4 linked regions of the Rattus norvegicus genome follow. The protein of the gene in region 4 purifies or fractionates together with the protein of the main gene of each other region. This does not show direct contact. Links are inferred from orthologs where the notes say so. Each region holds a gene or a part of one and is shown on either strand. Other genes may lie near its edges.

Region 1 (7,854 bases), on a different chromosome or scaffold from region 4:
CCACATTTGGTGACTATGTATTTCTGATATGGCATAGCATATACATTCCTAGAAAAACATCAAGGCCGGTAGAAGGCTCAACGAAACAAACAAACAAACAGCATGTCTAGGAAAAATACAACAAAGTCAACCCCCACCTCAACATTGACTTTACCACCAGAACACTAACAAAACACCAGTCACACCAGGGTGCTGCTGCTTCCTGTGATACTAAAACCACACAAAGAGCAATATGGCAGTGCTGAGTTTATGCCCAGAGAAATGAAAACTTACTCCCCAAGTAGTGGGTTTGGAGGGGAACGACCACGCCCAGCCCTACTTGCTTCTTTTTGAGATAGTCTTTCTTTGCCTCCATAGTGGTGCAACTACAGGTGTGCAATGCCACATCCTGCTTGGATTTACTTCAAATTAAAATCAGAAACTGTTTTTAACTTTGCTAGAGAAAAAGAGCTTTAGTCTGTATCCAGATCTTTTACAAAACCAGGGCTGAATGAAGTGCGACTTCTGAGGTATTACTATTTTTGGAGCACAAAACTCCCTGGCCTTTAAATATCATTCCAGTGAGTAAGTTGGTAAAGTAGACTAGAAAACTATTTACCCAGACATCATCTCCTCCTAACATGGGTTGCTCTAAGCTGTCTACCTTACTTTTTATTCAGCCATAGTGTAAAAATCTAAATAAATGATGAAAGTACCAGACACCTGCTTACGTATTACCTCAGACAGTGTCAAATCGCTCTGAGCATGCATTCTCAGTTCATTTTCATGACAACACCCATGAAGAGGACCACCCATTTCCTCATTCAGTGAATACGGAAGCAGTCTTACCTAAAGCTCACTCTCTACCTCTACCTGCAGCTTCAAGGACACACACTGACCTCATGGGACTCTTTCAACAATTAAGTGAGCTAATCCACACAAAACACACAGGGAATAAGCATACGCTAAACGCTATTACTTGTCCTCAGATCTAAGAGCACACAGGCAGTACAAATTGGGTTATTTTAAAAAGAACAAGGTCTCAAAGTTGGAGAAGGGTGTATCTGGGAAGAATTCAGAGGAGTAGGGTATGTGTGTGATTATTAACCAAATTCTTTTTTTTTTTCTTCTTTTTTTCGGAGCTGGGGACCGAACCCAGGGCCCTGCACTCGGCTCGCTAAACAAGCGTTCTACCGCTGAGCTAAATCCCCAACCCCTTAACCAAATTCTTAAAAACAAATAAAAGCCTTCCAAAAGCTATTGTTTATTTATTTACTGCAACAACAGCTTTCATCTGCTCAAGTACGTGGCAAAATTGGATGACTAAGGGCATGTCCTTAGCTGATGATATGTCTTAGTGGTAGAGTATGAGAGGTTCTTTATTCCACTTCTAGCTACATATACATATGTAATACAGAAAGTATGTATTATATATCCAATATACCGTGCCACAATAATATGTAGTAATACAATGCATAAAATCTAATATATAACACATTATATATATATACACACACACACACACACACAAGTCATGAGTGTAGATAAAATACTTCCCATCCACCTCTCACCTCTAAACTGAAGTCTAGCATGAACGTAACAGTACAAGTACTGCCCACCTCGTGGCTTTTCATGGCATTATGGACATGAAGACAGCACAGTAACTATCATCACTGTTGGAGGGTTAGACTGAGGCTCCAATGTATGAAACAGAACACAGCTCCTTTTCTAAATCAGGAATGAGCTTGGTGGGGCAGGTAATAGCCTGAGACCTGGGCCTTGAGGGAGCTGTGGATCCAGGTCCTGAGAAATCAAGTCTTCCGGAACATCCTAAGGGACTATGGGTCACAGTCCCAAGGCTGCTATGTGCTCTGTTTATGACACTGTGTGCGCCCCCCCCACCCCCAACTTCTATGTAAGACATTGTACTTTTGGGCTTGAAGAAATGGCTCAGTGGTTAAGACCTTGCAGTGGACCCAGGTTTGATGCCCAGCACTTACACAGTGGCTCACAATCATCTGTAATTAAAAGTACCGGGAGATCTGATGCCTTTTTCAGGCCTCCACGGGCACCAGGCACATAGGTGATACTGAGTCTTCACATACTAATACTCATGCACACTAAAAAGAGATGCTCTACTACCTAAAAAACTTGCTTGTGGGAGCCATCAGCCTGTGTGACACCTCCTGATCCTAAACGTTCTTATCTTCAGGATCACATCCCCCTGGCCGTCACTCTCAGGAACCTGTCATTGAAGAACTACTTACTGATCCAGGTCAATTACCACTGCTGTTATGCAGCTGTTGTACAACAAACCCAGGGCTTCACATATCATCGAAAAACACTGTCACTACTCAGCTCTGAACAGGTTTCCCACTCAGGGCTCGCACTCTGACACATAGTCTTATGGCTCACCCAACTGTTTCTGCCACTAGGCAGTGTCACCAATCTCAGTATACGCTATTCACATCTCGTTTGTTGCCATACTCTAGTATCTCTTGCCGATGCATAAAAGGCTTGCGGCTTTTGGTGCCCACGAGTAACTGATGCTTCTTTAATCTCAATAAACTGTTTTACTTCGCCGAGACGGACAAGACAGAGTCTTTCGTTGGTTTTCCTGTTACCTCCTCGTTTGATGAGAACAGACACACAACAGGCACAAATATTTCTAGAGAAGCAGCCTGAGCCACGGAGTGAGTTAGCATCTCAATAAAACTACAGAAGCACACGGGAAGACTGGAGCCCGCCCTGTCCACCGCGTCGCGCGCCGGGCCCGCCGCTCCCCCGGACACGGCGCCCGCCCAGGTTTGCTCCGGCCGCGGCTGCCGCCAGCGCCTTCGCAGTAGGACACCGGCTCTCACCGGCTGCCTTCGCTGTCCGCGCCCGGCTCGGGATGCCTCCGTCCACTGTTCCTCAGCACCATCGCAGGGTTCCTGAGCTCCCTCCAGCTCCCGGGAAAATTTGGCGCGCTCTCATGTGCTCTCGCGAGACTACAGCTCCGGCCAATGAGAAGGCGCGGCCTCAGACGGACGTGTCCGGGGCCCGCCCCGCCGCGCCCCTCGGCTCTCCAATCGTCCGCCGAGCGGGGAGGCTGGGTCGCAGGGACTGAGGGAAAAGAGTGTGCAGGCTGGCTGCGCGGGTGGCGGGACGGCTGGGTCCGCTGAGGGCCGAGGCAGAGCAGGAAATGTCAGGCCGTCCCCGCCCTGTGCCCCAGGTCCCGGGCCGGGCGCCCGGCCGCCAAGCTGTTGGGTGGGCGCCCGGGACGACTCAGAGCCGGGATCGCGATGGCACCTGCCGCGTCAAGGCTGAGGGTGGAATCCGAGCTCGGGTCGCTTCCCAAGCGAGCGCTCGCCCAATACTTGCTGTTTCTAAAGTTCTATCCGGTGGTCACCAAAGCTGTCAGCAGGTGGGCGCACACTGGGAAGAGAAGTGGAAAGGAGGGCTGTCAACAGGGGAGACGCTCGTGCAGGGGAGGGTGAGAGAGAGGGGGCCGGCCGACAAAGCAGCTCCAATCCTGGGGGTGGAGCAGCAGTTCTCAGCCTTGAAGGTTGGACGGCCTTTCCACAAGGGTCTCAGATCAGATCTCCTGTATAGAAGGTATTTACGTTAAGTTTCGTAACAGCAGCAGCGCTACAGTTTAGAAGTAGCAATGGAAGCAGTCTTATGGTTGGGGGTCACTACACCACGAACATAGGAAGGTTGAGAACCACTGCTATGGAGGAATGTGGGTACCAAAGGCAGAGTTCTGCATTAAGGTGCGCCCTGTTCTGCTTAGCCACTAAATGCCAGTTTGTGTATTGGGTCCCAAGCGCTAACCTTTGCAGTCTGAATGTTGTGAAGACCCGCGAGTCAGGGACACATTCCAACCCTGAGCCACCAAATGCACTGTTGCTGGTGAACTCTGCCCTTTGATCTACATCTTTCGATTTCCTAACGAGATATCACCCTGTTTCTGTTAATTTTTATTAGTGAATTTTCTAGGTTTGTTCTCTACTAACTTAACCTTTCACAAGTGTGTACAGAGTGTTTCCTGTGTTCTGGGCACATAGCTGTGATCAAAACAGGCTCATATGCTTTTTCTGTCTTGGAGCCGAGAAGGAACTAGACCACGCTCCCACCCCCACACCCACCCCAGCAAAAGGCAGATAAATGTATAACTTAGAGCAGTTAGGGAAATTTCTCCTGTGTTGTTGACATTGATCAGAAGCACAGAGAAGAGAAGCAGTTGTTCACAGGGCACAGTAAGTGCAAAAGTTCTGAGAGAAGAATACAGGGCATGTTGGAAGGGTGAAGAGAAGGACTCAGGGGAGAAAATGTAAATGGAAGGAAGAAGTAACTAGGGGTCAAGTCAAAAGGGTCCTTATGATCCACACTAAAAGTTTTGGATTTTATAGTTTTTAGAAGACAGCTTGGGGTTGGGGATTTAGCTCAGTGGTAGAGCGCTTGCCTAGCAAGCACAAGGCCCTGGGTTCGGTCCCCAGCTCCGGAAAAAAAGAAAAGAAAAAAAAAAAAAAGAAGACAGCTTATAGACCTGTGGTGGTTAATGCTAATTGTCAACTTGATGAGGGGATTATCTTGATTAACTTAATTGACCTGGGAAGATCACTAGGAATGGCCCCATTCCTGGTTGGTGTCCTTGACTGTAAGTGGAAAAAGTGTGCTAGCTTTTTTTTTTTTTTTTTTTTTTAATCACACCAACATAAAAGAAACTAAGACAAGACCCATCCTTTTAAAGAAGCAACTGGTCCTGTCTTCTTATTGAGAATTTCACTTCAGGAGTGTAAATTTACATACTACTATTATAGAAGTGTTTTGTTGTTGGCTTTTTTGTTGTTGTTGCTTTCTTTTTGTTTTCAAAGAGAGAAAGAGAGAAGAAAAGAAAAAAATCCCTGGTGAATTCTGCCCCATTTCAAATGTTTATTTAAAGGGGTTGGGGATTTAGCTCAGTGGTAGAGCGCTTGCCTAGCAAGTGCAAGGCCCTGGGTTCGGTCCCCAGCTCCGAAAAAAAAAAACCAAAAAAACCCCCAAATGTTTATTTAAAAAAACTACAGCATAACATAGAGTTTCCAGCTTGAATACAGCCCACAGACCATGGTCAACTACAGAAATGTCCTCAGGAGGATCCCCCCATTGCCTTTTATACCCATGCCTTCCGTGGAGCAGCTGTAGGGATGTTGGAAGGCACGCAGTCCAGCAGGTGGAAGTCTCATTGTGCTCATCTGTGGTTTGGCTTTAGGTCTTAGAGTCTCCGTCTTTATCTAAGCAAGTTACTTCAACAAGGACTCCAGTATCCCATGATCTACACAGCAGGATCTTACAGCAGCCCTGCTATGGCCATGCAGGAGAGGCAGGCCCTTGTGTCTGTTGCTCATTTTCTGATTGCCTCTTCCTCTACAGTGGCATTTTGTCAGCCCTTGGAAACCTTCTGGCCCAGATGATTGAGAAGAAGCAGAAAAAAGACTCTCGAAGTCTAGAAGTCAGTGGGCTTCTCAGATATTTAGTTTATGGGTAAGTACCACAGAGAGCTGCCTCATCTCTGCAGACTGAGCACAGCAGAGCTGCCTGTCAGCATTAAGCCTTTGGGATACTTTGTTTTAAAAACCTAGTTCTGGGGCTGGAGAGATGGCTCAGCTAGGAGCGCTAACTGCTCTTATAGCCAACCCAGGTTTGATTCCCAGCTCCCATGTAGCAGTTCACAAACATCTGTAACCTCCAGTTCCAGGAGATCTGATGACCTCTTCTGACCTCATAAGGCACCAGACACATACTTGGTGCACGAATATACCTGTAATGTAAATATCCATGCACAAGAAATAGAAAACAAAAATTAAAATTAAAAAAGAAAAAGGAAAAAAAAATAATTCTTTAAGCAGCATCAGAGAGCAGGTATGTATGGTGGTGTATATCTTTAATTCCAGCATTCAGGAGGCAGAGGCAGGTGAATCTCTGTGAGTTTGAGGCTAGTCTGTTCTACATAGTAAGGCCGTGTCTCAAACAAAACAACAAAAAAGAAATATCAGAGGCCGGATATGATGACAGAGACTTTTAGCTTAGCCCTTTGCAGGCAGAGGCAGAGACAGTAGTATTGCCACAAGTTTCTGGCCGGCTTGTGCTATGTACAGAGATCTGCCTTTAAAACAAAATCCTCCTTGAGTTCTTTGACCACCACTAATGAACTGGCTGGATGATTTGAAGTCTTTCCAATAGGAGTGATTTTTAAAAAAAAAGAAAGAAAGAGAAGAAAAAAAAGAAAGAAAGCTGGATGGTGATGGAACTCACGTTTAATCCCAGCACTTGGAGGGTGGAAGCAGGCCAATCTCTGAGTTTGAGACCAGACAGGTCTACAGAGGGAGTTCTGGGACAGCCAGAACTACACAGGTAAACCCTGTGTCCAAAACAAAGAAGCAAACTTTGTGTGGGTGTGTGGTGTTAGATTTAAACCTGTGGCTTCATATACGTTGTCACTGATCTCACCTATCTTCATCATTTAGTTGGGTGTGCTAGTATTAGTACTTGGGAAGCCAACCTCGTCTAAATGGTGAGTTTCAGGTCAGCTACACCTGTATTAAGCCAAAATAAATAAGTAAATAAGTAAGTAAATAAATAATCAGAAAGACCCCCCCCAATGTGTGTAAATAAAAGAGACTGAACTCTCTCATATATCCTGTGAACTCTGATGATCCCCTTGCCTCCTGCGTGCTAGGATTATAGATGTGCGCTGCCTTATCTGTTTTTTGGTTTTTGTTTGTTGTTTTGCAGTGCTGGGAATCAAACCCAGGGTTTTTTATTTGTTTATTTGTTTTGCATACTTGGGATTTACTCTACCAACTGAGATTTTTGATACCCACAAAAAGCTCCCAAGAATAATAATTCCACACCATTTATTAAAATGTTTATGAAGCAACACCCCCCCCCCCATACTTTAACAAGTAACCTTTACCCCTCTCACATGGTCTTGGCCTCCCAAAGACTTTAGTGGCCCACAGTGATGCAAGAAAGTCCAGCTGAAAGCCTTGTTAACAGATTTCGGTTGTTGGAATTGACGGTTCCTGCCCTTCCCTGTATTACTGTGCTTTGTGAAACTCAGTTTAGCTGGACTTGGCTCATTCCCAGGTGAGCCAAGTGTGGACTAGAAATCCGCACTTTAGAGAAGGCAGAGGGTAGTACCAGGTTTTCTCTTGCCAGTTTCCACCAAAAGTTTGAAAATCTCTGGGAGCTGACCTATGTCTATTTGTTTCTCAGAGCCTGTTAAGGCATGAGGGCACAGACAAGGACAGACAGCATAATTGCCTGGAACACAGAGGAGTCAGATGGGCATAGACCTCAGCCAGGGCCATCATTGTGGCTGTCCCAGCTCACCAAATGGAAGAACTGGCAGAAGTAACTTCAGTCTTTGTGGGCAAAAAGACTGCCTGAAACTGGCTGAAAGGAAGTTTGTTTTTTTTTTTTTCCTAGAATGTCTTTATAAATTTGCATGGCCAATAAGTACTTTAGGAAGAAAAGAGGACTTAGGATCTGAGGTGAATCTTGGGACCAGAGACAGAACTGTAGAAAGAACCACAGTGCAGCTCACACCCCTGTGGCGTCCAGGTTGTTTGTCACAGGTCCCCTGAGTCACTACCTCTACCTCTTCATGGAGTACTGGGTCCCTCCTGAGGTTCCCTGGGCCAGAGTCAAGAGGCTCCTGCTGGATCGCCTGTTCTTTGCCCCAACCTTTCTGCTGCTGTTCTTCTTCGTCATGAACTTGCTGGAGGTGGGTGTTTGTCTTGGCATCTGCTGTGTCTCCAGTTAAAGATGGATAGGTAGCCTGCTTCCTGGGGTGGGCCCCAGGCTCTGAACTCTCAGCTTTCTCTTTTCTTCCCTTCTCTTTCCTTT
Region 2 (7,731 bases), on a different chromosome or scaffold from region 4:
GTGTGTTACAAGCTACCATCAGGAATCCAGCTACCCTGGAGGCTGGGCCCTGGTCCCAGACTCCTGGGTGCAAATAAGAGGAGTATCTCAGAGATGCTGGGGGCTGTGTGGAAGGACACTGAACCAGGGAATTCGGGCATCCAAAGTCCTTCTGCCAGGGGTCAAATGGCCCTTCTACTCCTCCCCCATCACTGTCCTCATAACTTTGCTTCTCTCCCATAGGTCAGCGTGCAGCTAACTCTAGAGAAGACTCAGTGTCCCTGCTGGATGGGGACCCATGGCCTGCACTGTCAGGGGAGCTGAGTGGAATCTGGGCAGCAGGGACCAGCAGGAGAGAGGGGAGGCTTAGAGCTGGGTGAGGCCAAGTGCAGAATCAGGACACTTACCTATAGCCTGGATCCCCACCAGCATTGCTGCAAAGGAGATTGGAAGGGACAGAGTGAAGGGTAAATCAGAGGGGAGGGGTCCTTTCCCCAGTGCAGGCTTCCAGCTTCAGTTCAGTGGGAAGCATCATTCACATACAGATTCCTCATACCTCTGAGTCAGAAGCCCCATTGCTGGAATGGACTTTGGGTGGAGGCTGGGATAAGTTACAGGTCCCTGGGGTGGGTGGGGCCCCGGATGCCTGACCCTTGAAGACAGGGCTGGGGACCATATTGAATGGTGGGAGTGATAGCTCCACAGAGTGCATGCAGGGGCAACAAAGGGCAGGTCACTTGAGTTGCTAGGCAGGACTAGCAGAAGGCTGGGTCCCTGAGGGATTAGAGGGGCCGACCAGATGTCAGGCTATCACACAGCACCAGGGACCAGAACAGGCTCCCTATAGTATGAGTCCCTGAACTGGAGAAGCTAAAGTGTCAGAGGTGAGGGTCCAGGCCCCTAAGGTGCCCCACCCCCCACGGGAATGGATCACTCACCAAGAAGACACGCCAAGACCCTCATGTTTGCAGAGTCCAGGGCAGGGGATGGGGTGAAAGGGGAAAGAGGGCAGGAGAGGGGAGGCGGAGGCAGCCAGGGAGGATAGGAGGGAGGGAAGCCGCTGCTGAGGCGCCCTGGACAGCTAGGAGCAGGCTGGGCTGAAGGCTTTGCCAGGAGGGAGAGAGGCTGCAGGGATGCAGCAGGGGACAGGAGGGGGAGGGGGCTGGCCACAGCTGAGCCTGGAGGAGGGGGGGCGGTGGGCAGGCAGAAGGGAGGTGTTCAAGTGCAAACACCCACACTGGAGGGAGGCGGCCAGCCAAGCTCCAGAGGGCCACGCGCTTAGAGATGCTTCTGGGGATGGCAGTTCTGGGAAGGGGCAGGCCTGGGTGTCTGGGGGACAGGGCTGAGGGCACACCCTTTTGCCTCCTCTTATTGTCCAGCCAGGCAAGTAAGTGTAAACGGGAGTGGACAGATTTGGGGGAATCCTGCAGTAGCAAGAGGGCCTGCAGCCAGACACTAGGAGGGACTTCCTAGATCTAGAAGAGAAACTGAAAAACCTCTCTCTCCATTTGACACCCACTGTGGCAAATCTGGATGGGAACCTCCCAGTGCCTATTTGAGGAAGGAGTGTCTGAACTTACAACTTACCAGTTCCTAGAACAAAGGTATGGAGGGTAGAGAGACCAAGGGGGTCAAGGCCTCGGTTTGGAGGGGGTGTACACACACACACACACACACACACACACACACACACACACACACACAGCAGGCAGCTGTAAAGGGAAAAACTTTGGTAATGGGGAGCATGACTCAGAAGGCCTGGCAGAGACTGGGCTGCCGCTGTGAGCTCACTGCTTCTCCTTTTCCCAGCACAGTGCACGCGCCTCCCCCCCCCCAACTTCTCTAGCAATTAATGTCAACTTTGGAGAGGAGGAGCCAGACAGAAGGAGGGAGTCTGGAGAGAGCAGCTGGAAAATGCATCAGAGAGGAGACAGGCACACAGAAGTTTCAGGATTTATTAACAAACAGTGTAAAAAACCAGATGGTCTTGGAGACACTATGCTCCCAGTCCCACCCACTCCCAGAAGATCTGTCCCCTTTGGGAGTTCCCTGTCAGACTCTAACTCTGAGAGTCTCAGTCTCTCTCTCTCTCTCTCTCTCTCTCTCTCTCTCCCCCCCCCCCAGATATCCCTTCCAGACCTCAAATACACGCAACAGGGGCTTTGTAGACCCAGAACCACAAGTTTTTTCAGTGCATACAGACTGGGGCTGGGGGTTGGGGGGGGGGAGAAGTGAACAGGGCGACTTCTAGTGGTCCCAGAAGACCAAGAAGGAATTTGTTCTATTTGAGTTTAGAGTCCCCATTGCATCTGGCAGGTCCACTGTGAGCATGTAAGTCCATCAACCTTGGTGCCTCACTATCAGCCCAGCAGACTAGGTGGACACTGCGGGAGGGGATGTAAAGTGCACGGCACACAGTAGGTGTTCTTTAGGTGCTGGTTCTCTGCCCATCTACCCAATGGGCATAGTCTCCAATCACAGGTCTTTGCTGAATTCCCTAACCAGCATATAGCCCATGCAGCCCCAGCCTCCCTCTGCCTGGTAGCCACAGGCCTCCAATAACCCTGACACACCCCAAGCGGCCACAGCCACTGGGACCACGAGCCGGGCCCGAGGCTCCCCCACACTCCCAGACCATGCTCGGGCTCGGGCCTCAGCAAAGGCCAGCAGCCTCCTGCCCACGCCCCTGCGACGGTGCCATCGAGAGACAGAGAGGCGGGTAACTCGGGCTCCGTCCCCCAAGTTGGCACCAGGGGCCAGAGCCAGGACTCCACACACATCGCCGGATCCCCGGACAGCCACCCAGGGACCCCCCAGCCCGCCTGGTGGAGGCAGAGAGCCCCATCGAACTCGCAGACCCAGCTTCACAGCCGCTACAGCCAGAAACACGGGCAGCAGGAGGGCCAGGGCGAAGGAGGCCAGGATGAAGCGCAGTCCACTGCTGGCTGCAGCCAGGAGGAGAAGGGCTGGAGGACGTGTCAGAGCGTGAAGGGCCACACGGTTTTCCGTGTCTTTTACACCAGCCTGTGGGTGGGGGTAAGGGCTCAGTCATTGGAACTCCTGAGGAAGGATTCCCGAGTGAGTAGAGAAGCCTGCTGATAGGGTAGTAGTCTGGCCCATTGGGTGTGAAGGACTGAGTGAATGCAGTCTGCCTGAACGAAAAGAATGAATAGGGCCTGGGGCCAATGAGTCCGGATGGCATTCTAGGGTAAAGCACCAAAGAAGACTGAACAAGATAGGCAAAGCGAAGACATGGGCTCTTCGCTGGAGGGTCTGGGGTGAGTGTGTGAGAGAGAGAGAGATCACCCCTCATTTTGGGGCTGGTAAGTGGAACTGAATGAAGATCAGGAGACCAGAATATTCAGCCTCTACACCCTTACAACTAACTGCTTTTTAAAAAATGGCAGCTGAGATGTAAGTAGGATGAAAGCACTAGAGAAAAGAGACCAATTAAAACTGCTGAGGCTGGTACGGCCCCCTCCCCCTTTTGTAGGTTCCCGGGAGGTCAGGCAGGTGGGCGGGGCTAGTGGAACCCACTTTGAGCGTCCCTAAGTAGCTGCGCATGCTCACTGGTGCCCCTGCCGGCCTCTCACCTTCAGCATCTCCAGCACCAGGGGCTTCTCATCTTCCCTCATTTCCCGCACTGACAGGTGGTTGGGGGCCATGGTAGCCCCCAGGCCGCCCCCCAAGGAGGGAGCTGGCGTTGTACACCTGCTGAAAACAAGTAGGTTGGTGTTAGGTGGGCACCTGAGTCCTAAAAGCCCTGGGAGGAACGGGCTGCAGCATTTCCCAGATCACCAAGGATGCTGGCGCATCGTCAAAGAGGACAGTCATAGTCGCAGGCCAGGTGCCTCCATACCTAATGGGGCTCCTTAAAAATCTTCCCAAATCGTCCCCCACTCCAGGGAAGGCATTCAGCGATCTGTCTTAAACTCAACCTCTCCCCATACTCTAGCAGCCAGTCTCCTGAAGTGGTCCCACCCCGCATGGCAGGAATAGGGCCCAGCAGGCACCTCCACGGGGCTGCTCGAATCCCTTGACAGTAACGGGGGGAACGGAGTCGGGGGCGCCGGGGGGGGGTGGTCATCGCCGGACGTGACGTCTACGCTCCCGACTGGAGGCGGGACCAGCGCCTTAGCAACTGTTGCCAAGCTTTCCCCACTATGGGGCAGGGGTTGGGAGTAATGGAACTGCGAGGACGAGGGAAGAGCTGTGACCTGCTGGAGGCCAGTGGGAAAACCATGGAGAAAGGGGGATGGGAGCGTGGAACAGAGAGAGGGTTCCTTACCCGGCCTGCCTGGGAGGACTAGCACAGCTCCTTTCTTGCTGGTTCTTCGTTGCTAAGCGACCTGAGCATCAGGAAGAGGAGGCGTTGCTTGTGAACCTAATCTCATTGGCGCTTGGGTCTTTGCGGGAAGGGATGGGGGCAGCAATGAGCATCCCCATCCTCAGGGACCTTTTTCTCGACCCGTGTGGTACCTGGGGTATCGTTTGGATAAATAATATCCCTCTACCTACCTTTCAGGTGAGGTAAAGGTCAGGGTGGTTTATAGGAAAGAAGTGGAGAATCCAGAATTTGACCCCTGACCCACCTTACTATAGTAAGTGTAGTTGCACACGAACATATACAAAGGACAGGAAAGGACCAGAGAAATAGCTCAGGAAATAAGAGAGCTTGCCAAACAGAAACCCACACGGCTGACTCCCACTAAGTATTCTCTCTGACCTCCACAAGTGTACCCCACCACCACCACCACCACAGTAAAGTCTTAACAGTTTAAAGAATGGGGGTGTTGGGCCCCACCCCAGAGAAGCATTTTGCCTTCCAACTACAAAGCAAGTACTCTCAGAGCCAAGAAGCAAAAACGAACGAAGACTTTCAGGCCTGAGGCAGAAGCTATATTTATGACTATCCCCTTCCCCATGAAAACAAAACCAAGAGGAGATTCTGGGTCTTTATTAGCAAGTCCAGCCAGCAGCCCCCTTGACTCTGGGGCTGACCCCAGCCCAGCTGAGGAGAACAGTTAATTGCGGGGGAAGAGGGTTTGTGACAGAGCTGCTACTGGGTCTCTTCAAAACGTGTGTACCAACTGGACTGCAGGCAGAGTCTGCACTATCTGGATGGAGGGCAAGTTCTGGGGAGGCATGACCCCTGGTCCAGTCACTGCGGGGACCACTTGTACCATCTGGGATGGGGGAGCTACAGGCACCCCCACAGGGGCAGAGACCGGGCCAGGTGCTGGTGGGGCCAGGAGTTGCAGCGTTGTGGTACCTCCTGCAACGCTGCTACTTTCTAGAAGGTCAGCAGCTGGGGCGCTACGAAAAATAAGGAGTTTCTGTCCTGATGGGTCAGTGGCAGCTGGCTCGGTCAGTCCAGGCGAAAGCGTTTCCACCTCCTGCACACAGAGCCTAGTCTGTTCCCCATCCGCTCCACTCAGCACCAGCACACTCTGCAGCCCCTCATCTGTCTGCAATGTCTCAAACAGGACATCCTGAACCATACCAGCGCTGGCCTCACTGTCTCCCACTTCCCCAGGTCCAGAGCTGGTCAGCAACTCTTCAGCTGCCCCACTCTGAACCACCAGCAGGTTTGGAGCCTCGGTAGCCACAGCTCCTCCACTAGAATTGGAGACTTGTCCTGTCAGGGGCTGGAGCTGGACTGTAGTCACCTCCTGTGCTGGTTGTAGCTGGACTGTGGTCACTTCCTGTGCAGGCTGTAGTTGGACCGTGGCCACTTCCTGTGCTGGCTGAAGCTGAACCCCACTCACTTCCTGTGGTCCTGTCTCCCCACTCCCTACATTCTGTAGAACAATGAGGCTCTGCCCGCCCCCGCTAGTCCCAGCATTGCCTCCTCCTTGCACCCCTAGACCACCTGGGCCGGGAAACCACACTACCCCTGTCCCCTGTCCAGCTTTCCCAACAGCCCGAGGGCCTGGCCTTGCAGCACCATTGCCCATACCTCCAGCACTGGCAGGAGGCAGCAGAATGAGTTTAGGGGGTGGAGGCGGTGGTGGTGGGGTAGGGGGCTGGACACTGCTAGGAATCAGCTGGAGGCCCTGGGCAGTCTGTACCAGGAGAAATGTCTGTGAACTGGGGGCAACTGGGCCTGGGGGTGTAGCCTGAGCTGTGCCCCCAGCTACTTCGAGTGAAAGTATGGCCTGTAGGTTAGGGAGAACATGAACATCTTGAGCGGCCAGTGGAGTTGGAGCTGCAGCCAATGGGGTAGGGGGCTGCGATGCTACAGCAGGGCCAGTGGTCCCCGAAGTTGTAGTGGCTGGGGTGTGCGTCCTCAGATGCCGCTGCAGGTAGGCGGCCATGACAAAGCCTCGGCCACAAATGGGGCAGGCAAAAGGGCGCTCCGCAGAATGAGTTCGCTGGTGCAGCAGCAGGTTGGAGGAGTGTGTGAAGGTCTTGGGGCAGAGCGGGCAACGGAAGGGTCGCTCGCCCGTGTGCACACGTTGGTGCTGCCGCAAGTTGGAGGTCTGTGCGAAGCTCTTGCCACACACGCTACACGAGTGGGGCCGCTCGCCAGTGTGCACGTGCCGGTGGCGCCGCAGGCACGAAGTGTTACGGAAGGCTTTGCCACACTCAGTGCAGGCATAGGGCCGCTCACCAGAATGAAGTCGCAGATGGTACTGGTAGTGGGACGACCACTTGAAGGTGAGGCCACACTGGCCACAGGTGAAGGCTCGCAGGCCCGTGTGCACACGCTGGTGGATAGCCAGCAGGGAGGAGCGCTTGAAGGCTTTGCCGCACTCCCCGCATTGGTAGGGCCGCTCACCTGTGTGGTCCCGCAGGTGGTAGCGCAGCCCGGAAGAACCCTTGAAGGCCTTGCCACACTCTGCACATTTGTAGGGCCGCTCTGCAGAAACTGGGGCAGGTGGAGGAGGAGGTGGAGCAGGAGTGGCTGGGGCTACAGGTTCCTGGGGACAGGTGACTTCTGCAACTTCAGCCTGAGGTGGTGGGCGTCCAGCTGCCGCCTCCTCCACGTGGCACTGCTGGTGAGCCAACAGGCTGGCCAGTTGTGGGAAGGCACCATCACAGCTACCACAGCGAAAGGCCTGTCCACTGGCCGCACCATGGCTGTGCTGGTGACGGGACAGGCCTGCCACTGTCTGGAAGGATTTCCCGCAAGGAAGGCAAGCAAAATTAGAAGGGCCAGTAGTGGCAGGTGGGGGCTGCAGAGCAGAGTCAGCCTGGGGCAGCTCGGCAGGCACATCCTGGGGCTGGGTGGCCACAGTGGGACCTGGGCATGGTTGGTGCTCCAAGAGGAGCTCCTCGCTACTGAAGCCCTGCTCGCAACCATCGCAGCGGTATACCAGCTCCACTGTAGTCTCAGCAGCAGCCAAAAAGAATTCGGGCACCACAGGTGGGGGCTGGGGTGGTGGGGCTGGAGGCTCAGGTGGGCTGCGGGGCTGCAAGTAGGCATCAGAGACCAGAACCTTGGTGCCAGCTCTGCTGGTCTCCCCTGTGGGGGTGGGGTCTGGGGCAGGGGCGGGGGCGGGGCTGGGGGCAGGGCTGTGGGTGCGATGGTGTAGCAGCAGGTTGGAGGAGTGTGTGAAGGTCTTGGGACAAAGTGGACAACGAAAGGGGCGCTCGCCCGTGTGTACCCGCTGATGCTGGCGAAGGTTGGTACTCTGAGTAAAGCTCTTCCCACAAATGCTGCAGCTGTAAGGGCGTTCTCCCGTGTGCACATGCCGGTGGCGCCTTAAGCTGGATGAGTTCTTGAAGGCCTTGGGGCAGTCAGGACAC
Region 3 (7,218 bases), on a different chromosome or scaffold from region 4:
TATTCTCTGTCTCTCTCTCTGTCTCTCTGTCTCTGTCTCTCTCTCTCTCTCTCTCTCTCTCTCTCTGTCTCTGTCTCTCTCTCTCTCTCTCTCTCCCCCTCCCTCCCTTCCTCCCCCCCCCACACACACACAGAGTTTTAAAAAGAATAATAAATTTTTTTTTTTTTAAGATTGAGGGCCAGAGGGCTGGAGAGATGGCTCAGCAGTTAAGAGCACCCGACTGCTCTTCCAGAGGTCATGAGTTCAATTCCCAGCAACCACATGGTGGCTCACAACCATCTGTAAAGAAATCCGATGCCCTCTTCTGGTGTGTGTGAAGACAGCTACAGTGTACTTATATATAATAAATGAATAAATCTTTAAAAAAAAAAAAAAGATTGAGGGCCAGAGGGGTTGGGGATTTAGTTCAGTGGTAGAGCGCTTGCCTAGGAAGCGCAAGGCCCTGGGTTCGGTCCCCAGCTCCGAAAAAAAGGAACCAAAAAAAAAAAAAAAAAAAAAAAAGATTGAGGGCCAGCAAGACTACACTTCTTTCAAGCCTGAGTCCTCAGGACCCACATGGTGGAAGGAGAAAACTGACTCCCACAGGGTGTCCTCTGACCTGCACGTGTGTGCTGTGGCATGTGGCATGCCGGCTCCTTCCTCAGCATCATGTACAAATAAGCACATGAAGAAGGGCGCATGCCAAAGCCTCTAGGTGACCAGAGTGTGGAGAAGAGATATGCCAAGTGCTTGGCTCAGCTGTGGTCCTTCCTCAAGGCTCAGGGATGTCGGGGGTGGGAGTGGGGGGCAGGACAAGAGGAAAGGCAGAGGTGGAGAGATGAAATCGCTCCTAAGTTTCTGTAAATAACTCCCAACTTCCCTCTGTCAAGAAACCATGCTCAATGGCCACATTGAGAAGGGCAGGGTCAGGAGGATTTGCTGAGAAGGTTCCGGTGCAAAGGGAGGGGATGAGAGAGGATTGGAGTTGAAAATGACTAAAGTTCACTATCTAAACGCAAGAGATTGTCAGAGAGTTAAGTGCAGAGCCATGAGATAGCTCAGTGGGTAGCGCTGGCTACAAAGCTGCACCCAAATTTTGATCCCAAATGCCAATGAGTTTGCTTTGCTCTGCTCTAGGAAATGCCTTCATGGGTGGCATTTCTACCCTGCTCCCAAATCTCCAGGAGAAGAAAAAATAAACAGGGAATGCACTTGAGTTCCTAACACTGGGAGGGAAAGGGATCAGAAATTGAGGGCTATCCTTGAATACATAGTAAGTTTCGAGACTATCTCGAGGTATATAAAACCTGTGTCCTAGTCAGGGTTTCTGTTGGTGGGATAAGACACCAGGACCAAAGCAAGCTGGGGAGGAAAGGGTTTATTTTGCTTATAGTTCTGTATCAGCTCATCATCCAGGGCAGTCAAAACAGGAACTCAAAACTGGACAGGAACCTGAAGGCGGAGCTGATGAAAGAGGCCATGGAGGAGTGCTGCCTACCAGCTTGCTCAGCCTGCTTTCTTACAGAACCAAGACCAATACCAGGCCAGGGTGGCTCCACCCACAATTACCTGGGCCCGCCCACATCAGTTACTAATTAACAGACTTGCTCGCAGCTTGACCTTATGGAGGCGTTTTCTGATTGGGGTCCTCCTGTCAGAAGACTCTACCTTGTGTCAATTGACAGAAAAACTAGTCAGGACAGTCCTGAGAGACGTCAGGACATGAACTAAACGAAGGAGAGGCCGTTTGCTGCTAACTGGGTGTTCCTCATGCCTCGCTCATCCTGTTTTCTAATGCCATCCCAGACCACCTGCCTAGGGGGTGGCACTGCCCACAGTAGACTGGGTCCTCCCACATGAATCACTAAGAAAGTGCCGCATAGGCTTCCCCATAGCCCTGGGAGTCTCTCACTTGTGGTTCTCTCTTCTCAGGTGTGTCCACTTGTGTCAAATTCACAGTAGCAACAAGCAGGACACTTGTCTCCTTAAGAAATAGATTATTTAATAAGGTAGAAGCCAGGAGCTGGGCATGGTGGACTTTTCTCTAATCTCGGTACTTGAAAGACTGAAGCAGGAGGATCTCAAGCTTGGGACTGGCCTGCAAGACAAGGGAGGTCAGGAAATGCTCTTGCCTGCTGTGCTGTGCACACGGCCTGCCCTTGGTTCTATCCTAGAGATGAGTGAGCAGGAGGAGGACCACCGGCCAGGAAAACAAGTTTGTAAAGTTAGTGTTGAACGCTTCTCCTCCATCTGCAGGGAAGAAAGGAACCAAACCCAGGTGCTGAGACAACAGCAGGATGAAGCCTACCTGGCTTCTCTCAGGGCAGACCAGGAGAAAGAGAGGAAGAAAAGGGAGGAGAGAGAGCGGAAGCGCCGGAAGGAGGAGGAGGTGCAGCAGCAGAAGCTGGCGGAGGAGCGAAGGCGGCAGGTGAGCCACACCTCTGTTCCCTGCCTTTCGATTTGCTGCTTGCTTCTGGCCAGGACACACCCTTTCCCCAGGACCCAGTGCCTGTCCCTGTCAGCAGTGCGTGTGGTACAGTAGGCCTGGTCCTTGTTTCTTACCAAGAGGGTTTTTTTTTTCTTTTTTCTTTTTTTTTTTCTTTTTTCTTTTTTTTCTTTTTTTTTTCGGAGCTGGGGACCGAACCCAGGGCCTTGCGCTTCCTAGGCAAGCGCTCTACCACTGAACTAAATCCCCAACCCCAAGAGGGGGTTTTTTGAGGGGTTGCTTTTAAAGTTTTGTCCAGCTGGATGTAGTGGTACAGGCCTTTAATCTTACCACTCAAAAGGCAGAGGCAGGATTGAGGCCAGTTTATCAGTTTGAGGGCAGCCTGATCTACATACCAAGTTTTAGGCCAGCCGGGGCTATATGATGAGACCCTGTCTCACTCGACCAGGGAATAAGGGAGCGTTTATTTATCCGTTCTGTGTATGCGATGTGAGAACACAGTACACACATGCCAGAGGCTTCTGTGACGGTCTCCCTCCCCCCTTTCCATGATTTCTGGGATGGAGCTCAGTCTGTGTCAGGCTTGTACCTTCAGGGCCCACACCCCATTACCTGCTGAGCTGTGCTCCTGGCCCCTCAGTGATTGTTCGTCAGTTTTCAGTGAACATTCGTGACCTTTACACCCCTGTTCGGCCACATCCTCACCTTTGCTCTGTCTCTAGAACTTACAGGAGGAGAAGGAGAGGAAGCTGGAGTGCCTGCCCCCTGAGCCCTCCCCAGATGACCCTGACAGTGTCAAGATCATTTTCAAGTTACCCAATGATTCCAGAGTAGAGCGACGATTCCATTTTTCACAGTCTCTAACAGTAAGGATCACCTAAGCCACATGGTGTTATAGATTGGGACTGTAGATGTGGAGGGTGGAGGGCAGAGGACAGACCAGGGGAGGCTGGTTGGTCTCCTTCCTTTGTCTGGGTCCCCGGGATGGAACCTTCAGGCTTGACAGAGGGACCTGTGCATGCTGAGCCCTGGTGAAGGGCTTCTGCTCCCCTTCTAACCGTGTTCTGAACTACAAAGTGTGCAGTTAGCACAAAAGGTAAGACACAGAGACCTAGCACAGAATGGAAAGGAGGCGTGGCCATGGGAATGAAGCAGTGAGAGCAGCACTCACACCTGCTTTGGGGGTTTTGATTTCCAGTGCTTAGAATGGAAGTCAGGGTCTCCCATTAAGCTGTCTCTCCAGCCCTGGGTTTTTAAATGTATTTTTCTTTTTCCTTTTTAAGATTATTGTATTTTATGTGTATATGTTTTGTCTGCATGTACATCTGCACACCAGAGGAGGGCATTAGAGTCCATGAGAGTTACAGGAGACTGCTGTCATAGATGTTTATGAACTACCAGCTGGGTGCTGGAAATTGAACTCAAGACCTTAGGAAGAGCAGCCAGTTTTTCTAATCACTGAGCCATCTCTCTAGCCCTGGAGTTGCCTCCCAGAGTTCCTGCTATGTAGTACGCAGTCAGCAGATGTTGTTCTCCTTGTTTCCTATCTACAGGTGCATGTAGATCTTTGAGGGGGCAGGAGGGGGTTCGAGATGGGTTTCTCTATGTAGCCCTGCTGTCCTGTAACTTGCTCTGCAAACCAGGCTGGCCTTGAACTCAGAGATCACCTGTCCCTGCCTCTTGAGCTGGAACTAAAGGTGTGTGTCAGCATACCCCACTTTGTATGTGTATCTTAACTTACAGATTCACTCCTCAGTTTCTCTGTGGAGTTCCCTGAAGTTTCTACTCCTATCCATACTCAGAGGAACAGTTTCTATGTGTGAAACCTAGCAAGGTGCCTTAGGCTTCTCATTTGTTTTAAAGTGTGTGTGTGTGTGTGTGTGTGTGTGTGTGTGTGTGTGTGTGTGTGTACACGTGTTTGCATGTGTTGCATTTGGAAATCAGAGGTCAACCTCAGATGTCTTTCTCAGGATGCATTCCCTATTTCCTGTGACAATCTCTCCTGGGACCTGGGCTTGCTCTCAGGTCCTAGGATCTCCTATCCTCCCTCCCCAGCACGTCGTCATTATATTTCACGTGTCTCGTGAGTGTTTTGTCTGCCCGTACATATGTATGTGCTCTGCATGTATGCCTCAAGCCTGAGGAGGCCAGAGCTGTTGGATCCCCTAGAACTGGAGTCACAGAAGGTTGTAATCTGCCATGTGGGTTATTCAGCTGGGCACCAAAAACGGAACCCACATTTTCTGCAAGAGCAGCGAGTGCTCTCAACTTCTAAACTGTCTCTCAAGCCTCTCTTTCTTTTTTTAAAGACCTATTTATTTTTATTTTATGTATATGAGGGTTTTGCCTGCATGTATGTCTGTATACTATGTGCTTGTAGTGCCCGCAGGCACTAGAAGAGGGCGTTGGAGCCCCTAGAACAGGGCTTACAAACAGTTGTGAGCTGCCATGTGGGTGCTGAGAACAGTCCAGGTCCTCAGGAAGAGCAGCCAGTGCTCTTAGCACTGGGCCATTGCTCTAGCCCTGTCCACTTTATTTACTTGTAAAGATTTACTCTGTGTGTGTGTGTGTGTGTGTGTGTGTGTGTGTGTGTGTGTGTGTGTGTGTGTGCGCGCGCGCGCATGCGTGTTGCTGACAGTTGTGAATTACCCAGCAGTGCTGAAAGCTGAATTTTGGTCCTCTAAGAGAGCAGCAAGGGCTGTTTTACTGCTAAGCCATCTCTGTGGCCTTATGAATAAAATCTTACATAGTTTTAGTTTAGTTGGAAAAGGGGCTTGGAGAGAAGAATGACATCCAAGGAGTCACAGTTAAATCCCATGCTGGCCTGGAATTAACCATTCATTGATAGTAACATGACCAAATAATTTAGTATTCTTGAAAACCTGGTGCCACCTGCCCTCACATATAATCTTAGGAGTGACACATCTGCGTTAATGGCCAGCCCTGATGGCTGTAGTACAGACCACTGAGTGTAGCAGGCTTCCTTCCACCTCAGCAGAGAGGGAACGACATGACTGACGACAGGGTAGACTCTGAGTTCTAGGACAGCCAGAGCTACAGAAACCCTGTCTCAAAAAAAAAAAACAAACCTTAAAAATAAACAGCCATCTTGAACAGCTCTCCTTGGAAATGGCTGTTTCTGAGACTGGACCAGGAGAAAGAAAAAACATTAGGCTACAAAATGACTTGTCAGAAAGCAAGGCATTGTTCCTAGAGGGATGGGGACATGTGCACAAGACATGAAAGCCAGCCATCCAAACTCAACTCTAAGTTTGAACAGGAACATAGCTGCTGACACTGCATAGCCTATTGGCTAAACAGGAAGTGTGGGACCTCCATTAATAAAAAAAAAGTGGTGGGGCTGGAGAGATGGCTCAACATTTAAGAGCACCTACTGCTCTTCCAGAGGTCCTGAGTTCAAATCCCAGCAACCATATGGTGGCTCACAGTCATCTGTATGTAATGAGATCTGATGCCCTCTTCTGGTGTCTGAAGACAGTGTCAGTGTACTCATATACATAAATAAATACATCTTTTTTTAAAAAATAAAAATTAAAAAACAAGTTTAAAAGACTGAAGAACCTTGTTGTTTCAGAGTACATCCCTACATACACCCCCAGTTAGAGAAAACCTGGTCCCACCTGAACTGTCATCGGTGTGTACCATAATTAAATGTGCACAGTACTTTCAGTTCACTGGTGTGAGTACTTTAAACCATTTTAAGGACAGGAGAATGCATGAGTTATAGCTGAATGCCTGAGGAACTTGGCTTGGAGGAGGATCCTGAAACCTCCATGGTATGGAAGGATAGCATATTAAACTTTGTAGTATATCAGTTAAATGCTCTGATTTTGAGGTTATTTAAAGTCTTCTGAGATAATGGGATACCAGGTTGGCAGACAGCTTAAAATGAACTCAAAGGGGATAAATATTCTGAACACTGCCTTCCAGCTTTTCCGAAACCATGCCTATTTCTAGTAAGTATTGTTTGCTTGGGTGGTTGTAATTGCCCCATGCTGCTGCATGCCTTTGATCTCAGCATAGGGGGAGGCAAAAGAGGCGGTGGATCTCTGAGCTACATTGTGAGACCCTTAAATAAGTAAAGAAAAATTTTAAATTGTTTAGCTTTACCTAAGGTCAGATTCTTGGGTGGCAGGGCTGGGGTGGGGGGAGTCAAAAGACTAGCTTGTGTGAATTCTTTTTTTTCTAAGACATGCTGTCTGGAACTCACTATGTAGACTAGGCTGGCCTTGAACTCACATTATTCTGCCTCCAAAAGTGTTGGGCTCGTGCAGTCTTCTGTCTCCTTTACATGGTATAAGGCACTCACAGTGAACTGACAGCACTGAGCACAAGTAATTATGGTGCTCACTAGTACGTCGTTCAGGTTTCCCACTGTAGGGTTCTCTAACTCGGGGTGTTTGTAGGGACGTACTCTGGAGCTATGAGGGTATGAGGTTCCTCAGTCTCTTAAACTGTTTTTCTAAAGGCATGGGCTGCCACACTCCGGTGAACTCTTTAAAAGAAGGTAGAATTCCATTAGAATAGGACTACTGTCTGCTTGGGTCTTCCTGGGGAAGGTTAGGACATGGGACTTCACAGTGAGTCTCTCCTTACCACGTTCTTTTTCTGTGTGGCATCTACAGGTCATCCACGACTTCTTATTCTCCTTGAAGGAAAGCCCTGAAAAGTTTCAGATTGAAGCCAATTTTCCAAGACGGGTACTTCCCTGTGTCCCTTCAGAGGAATGGCCCAACCCCCCCACCCTGCAGGAGGCGGGACTAAGCCACACA
Region 4 (7,218 bases):
AGGAGAGTGGTCACTTTATATCATTTTCCTAGTAGTTTGCTTCAAATCACACAGCTCTCTAGCCTTATCCATCCCCAACATACCCACCATGTCTCTTGTCTCCGAAGGTGCTCTTGATGATTTTGATAAAGCCAAACCCTCCCCAGCACCCTCTCCTACCATCTCGGCCCCCGATGCTTCAGGGCCCCAGAAGAGATCGCCAGGAGACACTGCCAAAGTATAAATTCTATCCCCTTAAGGGAGGGGGAGGATGGGTATGCAGTTCAGAGCAGGGGTGGGGCAGGCCCCTGTGGGCCAGAGGGGTGGCTGGGAGGGTACCTTTGCCTCATACTGCTGAGTGTACTTCCAGGCCTCAGTTCCTATGAAACAGGGATAACGAGGAAGTGCCTCGAGTAAAGAGCAGTTTTAAGTGGTTGGATTTGTGTGCTGCCTCAGATTATTCCTTCAATGGCCAAAGTCTTTGCTTGCTGTCCTCCTGAAAAGAGGCAGATGGAATGTTCAGTGGAGGTGCTTGTGGGGGAAGATGTTTCATTTCCCAAAACCTACAATCTGAGCTCCTGTAAGAGGCTAGACCCAGGGTGATGCTGTAGGAGGCAAATTTTGTAAACCTCTCCCCTGCAGGATGCTCTCTTTGCCTCCCAAGAGAAATTTTTCCAGGAACTGTTCGACAGTGAGCTGGCTTCCCAAGCCACCGCAGAGTTTGAGAAGGCAATGAAGGAGCTGGCTGAGGAAGAGCCCCATCTGGTGGAGCAGTTCCAGAAGCTCTCAGAGGCAGCTGGGAGAGTGGGTGAGGAAGCCCCAAACACAAAATGCTGGACAGACCTCTTAATCGCTTAAGAATAGCAGGATTGTAAAGTTGATAACAGTCACGATGTCACAGTCACAGAGTGGGGCAAGGCAAGAGGAAGAGACATGGGAAGCTTGCTTACTAAAAGAAAAGGGTAAGATGTTTTGGGAAGCAATAAAAAAAGGTTATTCCAGTCAGGCGTAGTGGCGTATTCATTCAATCCCAGCACTTGAGAAGCAGAGGGAGGTGAATCTTGTGAGTTTGAGGCCACCATGATCGACATGGTGCATTTTAGAACAGCTAGAACTGCAGAGTGAGACGCTACCTCAAAAATAAATATGATTCTCCCAAACCAACCCTTGTAAAGGAGTGTTACTGTAGCGAACAACCAACACGTTATCAATATAGACTTACGGCATGACCGTGAGGTAAGTACAGAACAGTGGAGATTTGGAAGAGGTAGTAGTTTCCTAGGAAATGCTTTATATCCAGACTGGTAACTAGGCAGTGTAGACAAGCTGACAGTTAAAATCCTAGGTAATCCTCGTTCTTTCCATCTCTCCTAGGCAGCGATGCAAGTTCTCAACAAGAATTTACTTCTTGCCTAAAGGAGACATTAAGTGGGCTAGCCAAAAATGCCACTGACCTTCAGGTAAAGGGAAAGGAATAAGATGTTTCCTGAGCATTCTCTCAAAATAGATGCTCTTGAGGTGGGCGGTGCTGGAGCGATGGCTCAGTGGTTAGGAGCACAGGCTGTTCTTCCACAAGATTGGGGTTCAATTCCCAGCACACACATGCCAGCTCACACTTACCTATAACTACAGTTCCAAGGCTTCTGACACCTTCACAGAGATGTACATGCAGTCGGAAAAAAAAAAAAAAACATAAATAAGATTAAACTTAAAAAAAAAAGTCTAAGGGTTGGGGATTTAGCTCAGTGGTAGAGCGCTTGCCTAGCAAGCACAAGGCCCTGGGTTCGGTCCCCAGCTCCGAAGAAAAGAAAAGAAAGAAAGAAAAAAAAAGTCTACTTCTTTTTTTTTTTTGGTTCTTTTTTTCGGAGCTGGGGACCGAACCCGGGGCCTTGCGCTTCCTAGGCAAGCGCTCTGCCACTGAGCCAAATCCCCAACCCCAAAAAGTCTACTTCTAAAAGCTCTGGCATATCTCCCCAAATCTGGCCCCCTTTGATTTTTGTTACAGGCAAATTTCGATAGTTGTTTCCACCTGAAAGTGTGGTAAGCATTTCAGGAAGGCAGTGTGCCTGTTCACCTCTCTTTTGTCTTGTCTAGAACGCAGGCATGTCTGAAGAAGAACTGACAAAAGCCATGGAAGGGCTGGGCATGGATGAAGGAGACGGGGAAGGGAACATTCTCCCCATCATGCAGAGCCTCATGCAGAACCTCTTGTCTAAGGATGTATTGTATCCATCCCTGAAGGAGATCACCGAAAAGGTCTGTGAATTCCCATTTCTGTCTTTTCTCCTCACTTCAATATATCAATAGTCTGGGCCACTTGGCTCAGACTATGCATAGTAAAGGCAATTTGAGTGGGCAAGTACAATTTTTAAAAACACTCTCGCAGTTGTTACTGAGAGAATTAAGCTACATTGGTGATCTGATCATCTATCCACACTGGGAATGTCTCAGCTAAAAGGGGAAATTTCCAACTCTAGTTTTCTATAAATGAGTTCAAGACTTTGAGTTTGACTGATTTATTCATTCTTATATTCTTTACTAATTCCGCCAGTAAGGACTCACATGATTTAGTGGTGGTGTTGGAAAGTGTTTAAGCGATGATGGTTCATGCTTGAAAGAGCTTATAGTTTGACCAGAGAAATGAAGTAGAGAAATACAAGCTCTACAGCATCACAGGCAACCTGTGGCCGAAGAGCAAGAGCAGGAGCTGCGGACCAGTGTTTGTACAGGCTCAGTCTGACTGACTCTCAGTGTTTGTACAGGCTCAGTCTGACAGTCTGACTCTCAGTGTTTGTACAGCCTCAGTCTGACAGTCTGACTCTCAGTGTTTGTACAGGCTCAGTCTGACTGACTCTCAGTGTTTGTACAGGCTCAGTCTGACTGACTCTCAGTGTTTGTACAGGCTCAGTCTGACTGACTCTCAGTGTTTGTACAGGCTCAGTCTGACTGACTCTCAGTGTTTGTACAGGCTCAGTCTGACTGACTCTCAGTGTTTGTACAGGCTCAGTCTGACAGTCTGACTCTCAGTGTTTGTACAGGCTCAGTCTGACTGACTCTCAGTGTTTGTACAGGCTCAGTCTGACAGTCTGACTCTCAGTGTTTGTACAGGCTCAGTCTGACTGAATCTCAGTGTTTGTACAGGCTCAGTCTGACTGACTCTCAGTGTTTGTACAGCCTCAGTCTGACTGACTCTCAGCGTTTGTACAGGCTCAGTCTGACTGACTCTCAGTGTTTGTACAGCCTCAGTCTGACAGTCTGACTCTCAGTGTTTGTACAGCCTCAGTCTGACAGTCTGACTCTCAGTGTTTGTACAGGCTCAGTCTGACTGACTCTCAGTGTTTGTACAGGCTCAGTCTGACTGACTCTCAGTGTTTGTACAGGCTCAGTCTGACTGACTCTCAGTGTTTGTACAGGCTCAGTCTGACTGACTCTCAGTGTTTGTACAGGCTCAGTCTGACTGACTCTCAGTGTTTGTACAGGCTCAGTCTGACAGTCTGACTCTCAGTGTTTGTGCAGGCTCAGTCTGACAGTCTGACTCTCAGTGTTTGTACAGGCTCAGTCTGACTGACTCTCAGTGTTTGTACAGGCTCAGTCTGACAGTCTGACTCTCAGTGTTTGTACAGCCTCAGTCTGACTGACTCTCAGTGTTTGTACAGGCTCAGTCTGACTGACTCTCAGTGTTTGTACAGGCTCAGTCTGACTGACTCTCAGCGTTTGTACAGGCTCAGTCTGACTGATTCTCAGCGTTTGTACAGCCTCAGTCTGACTGACTCTCAGTGTTTGTACAGGCTCAGTCTGACTGACTCTCAGTGTTTGTACAGGCTCAGTCTGACTGACTTTCAGTGTTTGTACAGCCTCAGTCTGACTGACTCTCAGTGTTTGTACAGCCTCAGTCTGACTCTCAAGTTGAGAGTATTTTTTACACTGTTTTTAAAAGATTTATTTTTATTACAGTTTTTAAATTAGGGGTGTGTGTGTGTACACATGAGTTCAGGTGCCTACTGGAGGCCACAGCCATCAAACCACCTTTGAGTTGGAGTTACAGCTGGCACTGAACCACCTGATAAGGGTGTTGTCGGGAATGAAACGTGAAGTAATTCGGGTCTTCTGCAAAAGTAGTGTGTACTCTTAACCACTCAAGCCGTCTCCAGCCCTGGTTTTTATATTTTTTTTTTCTTTTTTTTTCGGAGCTGGGGACCGAACCCAGGGCCTTGCGCTTGCTAGGCAAGCGCTCTACTACTGAGCTAAATCCCCAACCCCTGGTTTTTATATTTTTAAGTTTAAAAACAACAGGGCTAGGGAGAGATGGAACACTGGCTGCTCTTCCAGAGGACCTGGTTCAATTCCAAGTACCCACATGGCAGTCACAGAGGTCCATGGCCGGCTCCAGTTCCAGAGGATTCGATGCCCTCTTCCATCTTCTGAGAGACCAGACACACACGAGGCACACAGATATAAATACATGCAAATATTCATACAAATGAGATAAGAGTTTTTTAAAATTACAATTAATGACAACAACAGAGGGGTTTGTTAAAGAGCACTTGCTGTTGGTCGCCTGGATTCCGTTCCCAGGCCCAACGAGGTAGCTTATAACCATCCATAACTCTAGTTCTAGGGTGTCTGACACCTCTCTTTCCAAGTACACCAGCTATGCACATGGTACAAATATATACATGCAGGCAAAACACTAATGAATACAAAATAAACGTAAATAAATCTTAATGCAACAATAGCCCAACAGTGTTAACTAAGACCATATGTGACCCTTGTCCTAGTTAGCTGCAGCTGTCAGCTTTACACAGCCCAGAGTCATCTGAGGGAACCTCAGTTGGGGGATTGCCCAGATTAGATTGGACTATGGCCATGTGTGTGAGGAATTACCTTGATTGATGGTTGGTATGGGAGGGCATAGCCCACCGTGGGTGGCATCAACCCTAGGCAGGTAGGCCTAAACTATATAAGACGGCTAAAAGCCAACCAAGTAAGCCAGTATGCAGTATTCCTCTATGGTGACTGAGGTTTCTGCCCTTGGTGATGGACTGTTACCTGAAAGTGTCAAATGAAATAAACCCTTTCCCCTCCCAAGTTATTTTTGATGTTTTATCACAGCAATAAGAATGAAACTAAACAACCCTTAGAGGCTAAATCTTGCTTTTCACAAGCATAGTTTACTAATCTGCAGTTACCATGTATACCAGTGTGTCCAGATGATCTGCTGGAGTCAACAGTACTTTGTGCTTTTCATGATGAACTTGCTTGCTGCATCCCTTCCCATCCCTCTCCTCTCTTTCTTTAGTATCCAGAATGGCTACAGAGTCACCAGGAGTCTATTCCCCCAGAGCAGTTTGAGAAGTATCAGCAGCAGCACAGTGTCATGGGCAAAATCTGCGAGCAGTTCGAGGCAGAGACGCCCACAGACAGCGAGGCTACTCACAGGGCTCGCTTTGAGGCGGTACTCGATCTTATGCAGCAGGTAAGGCCTCCTTACACTGCCTCCCACCCTTAACAACCTCCACTCCCGGATTCACCACTAACAGGAGATAAGAGAGAAACAAGAACAGAGGGAAAGAAGTCCCTGAATCTAATTTCTCTTGTGTCCTCTTTGACCACGGCTGCTAACAAACTACAGCCAACCTCCCTAAACAACCAACAGCCCTGCCCTCTTCGCCCCTCTTGGGGCCTTGAGTTTATGTAGCCTCAAAAAAGTTCCTGGAATTCCAAACCTCACACAATCACAGAAACTATCTGCAGCTGGCAAAGCCATGCCTCCGCCAGAGCATGCAGCAAATCGTGGTCAGCTGCTGCTGTCAGTCTGAAGCAGCCCCATATCTCCATACCTGGGATTAAAATGAAAGCACACTCTTAAAATATTTCTGTGTTTTTGTTTTTTTTTTTTCTTTTTTTTTTCTTTTCTTTTTTTTTTTTTCGGAGCTGAGGACTGAACCCAGGGCCTTGCTAGGCAAGCGCTCTACCACTGAGCTAAATCCCCAACCCTTTCTGTGGTTTTTTTAAAGCAACGAAATTCCAGAATTCTCAAAAATGTCACTACAATGACTGCATACCATGATCAGAAAAAAAAATCAGATGACTAATCCAATTCTTTTTGTTGCTTTTGTGTTTTCTGTGATTTTCAAATTTTTTTTTTTTTTTACTCTTATATTCTTTTTATTTTCTAGTTACAGGACTTGGGCCACCCTCCGAAAGAGCTGGCTGGGGAGATGGTGAGTATGTCTTGTATATTTTAACCCAGTTCCCAGTTTGCAGAAGCCAGTAATCCTTAGGTAATCCATATAAGGTGATCATTGTGGCTGCTAAGGACGGACCTTCAGAAGCTCTGACCTGAAATATGAGTGATTTTCTCAGCCCCTTTGTCTCTTCTCCAGCCTCCTGGCCTCAACTTTGACCTGGATGCCCTCAATCTATCGGGCCCACCAGGTGCTAATGGCGAACAGTGTCTGATCATGTGAAACACAACACGGTTTCCTCCCTGAGTCCCAGCCATGGGGAACATCTGGAATCAACAGAGTCACTGGGAACTGAGGCAGGAGTATCATCTGTGGGAGCTGCTGCCCCACACTCTCTACATCCCATTCAAGACTGTGCCATACCAGCTGAGGACCTGTTGTAGGCCTTTTCTATGAGCCCTACTCCATTATGGTGTCTGCTGTTAGAAACGGGCCAATTATTTGCTAGGTGAAGGAAGGCATCCCTTGTGGGGCATTTTACTTCTTCCCACTCTCCAAAATAATGTTACATGTGGTGGTACTCATGTTCCCCTTGATTCCCAGGGACTTTGTGCCTTGTTTCTACTCCCTCCCTTGTGTCTGGGAGCAAGAGCTAAGTCCTAAGACTGCGCTTCTCTTAGGCAGGGCCTCTGGGAATGAGGAGAAAAGTAGCCTGGGTGGGGCTGGAGGCTTGTCACAGTATCTGCTAGCCTTCTTTTGGAATTCTCCGAAGGGAAAGGAATTTTGCACTTAGTCAGCAGGTTGAAAGCAAAGCCTTGGGCATTTCCTGTCCTTAGGTGCTGCGCCCTAATTCCCCTTTCCTCCTGAGAGCTCAAGTTGATACCCTGGTTCTTTCTACAACTCCATGATTTAGGGGACCCCCCGCTCTTGACTTTGCTTTGCCCCATGACTATCCTTACCTCCTCTCTTTAGAGTCTTATTTATTCTGCTCTTTTTAACTAGGGCTGTGATGGATGGAGGCTAATCTTGTTTCCTTTCATCTAGTACCTGG

Evidence for each region.
Region 1: the proteins of Pex19 (region 4) and Pxmp2 purify together in Homo sapiens (affinity purification with mass spectrometry; 3 studies listed by BioGRID and IntAct, counting the BioPlex papers as one, with this or other methods). This does not show direct contact. The link is inferred for Rattus norvegicus from reciprocal best matches to the Homo sapiens genes PEX19 and PXMP2.
Region 2: the proteins of Pex19 (region 4) and Nat14 purify together in Homo sapiens (co-immunoprecipitation; 3 studies listed by BioGRID and IntAct, counting the BioPlex papers as one, with this or other methods). This does not show direct contact. The link is inferred for Rattus norvegicus from reciprocal best matches to the Homo sapiens genes PEX19 and NAT14.
Region 3: the proteins of Pex19 (region 4) and Faf2 purify together in Homo sapiens (affinity purification with mass spectrometry; 4 studies listed by BioGRID and IntAct, counting the BioPlex papers as one, with this or other methods). This does not show direct contact. The link is inferred for Rattus norvegicus from reciprocal best matches to the Homo sapiens genes PEX19 and FAF2.

Annotation. Positions count from the first base shown.
Region 1 is NC_086030.1:52,050,718-52,058,571, forward strand, and holds the start of Pxmp2 (peroxisomal membrane protein 2), read left to right. Parts: upstream 1-3,233; 5' UTR 3,234-3,263; coding exon 3,264-3,385; intron 3,386-5,376; coding exon 5,377-5,487; intron 5,488-7,569; coding exon 7,570-7,732; intron 7,733-7,854. Other genes in the region: Pole (DNA polymerase epsilon catalytic subunit A), read right to left, coding at 2,841-2,902. UniProt on the Homo sapiens protein: Seems to be involved in pore-forming activity and may contribute to the unspecific permeability of the peroxisomal membrane.
Region 2 is NC_086019.1:77,937,510-77,945,240, forward strand, and holds Nat14 (probable N-acetyltransferase 14), read right to left. Parts: upstream 3,993-7,731; 5' UTR 3,694-3,992; coding exon of another isoform or gene 3,645-3,693; coding exon 3,573-3,644; intron 3,004-3,572; coding exon 2,455-3,003; 3' UTR 1,923-2,454; downstream 1-1,922. Other genes in the region: soluble scavenger receptor cysteine-rich domain-containing protein SSC5D precursor, read right to left, coding at 387-413, 918-942; Zfp628 (zinc finger protein 628), read right to left, coding at 5,052-7,731. UniProt on the Homo sapiens protein: Probable acetyltransferase. May act as a transcription factor that regulates the expression of coproporphyrinogen oxidase by binding to a promoter regulatory element.
Region 3 is NC_086035.1:9,955,282-9,962,499, reverse strand, and holds part of Faf2 (FAS-associated factor 2), read left to right. Parts: intron 1-2,235; coding exon 2,236-2,407; intron 2,408-3,147; coding exon 3,148-3,291; intron 3,292-7,071; coding exon 7,072-7,218. UniProt on the Homo sapiens protein: Plays an important role in endoplasmic reticulum-associated degradation (ERAD) that mediates ubiquitin-dependent degradation of misfolded endoplasmic reticulum proteins.
Region 4 is NC_086031.1:87,126,425-87,133,642, forward strand, and holds part of Pex19 (peroxisomal biogenesis factor 19), read left to right. Parts: intron 1-107; coding exon 108-217; intron 218-621; coding exon 622-787; intron 788-1,353; coding exon 1,354-1,439; intron 1,440-2,073; coding exon 2,074-2,235; intron 2,236-5,278; coding exon 5,279-5,455; intron 5,456-6,158; coding exon 6,159-6,203; intron 6,204-6,345; coding exon of another isoform or gene 6,346-6,365; coding exon 6,366-6,449; 3' UTR 6,450-7,218. UniProt on the Homo sapiens protein: Necessary for early peroxisomal biogenesis. Acts both as a cytosolic chaperone and as an import receptor for peroxisomal membrane proteins (PMPs).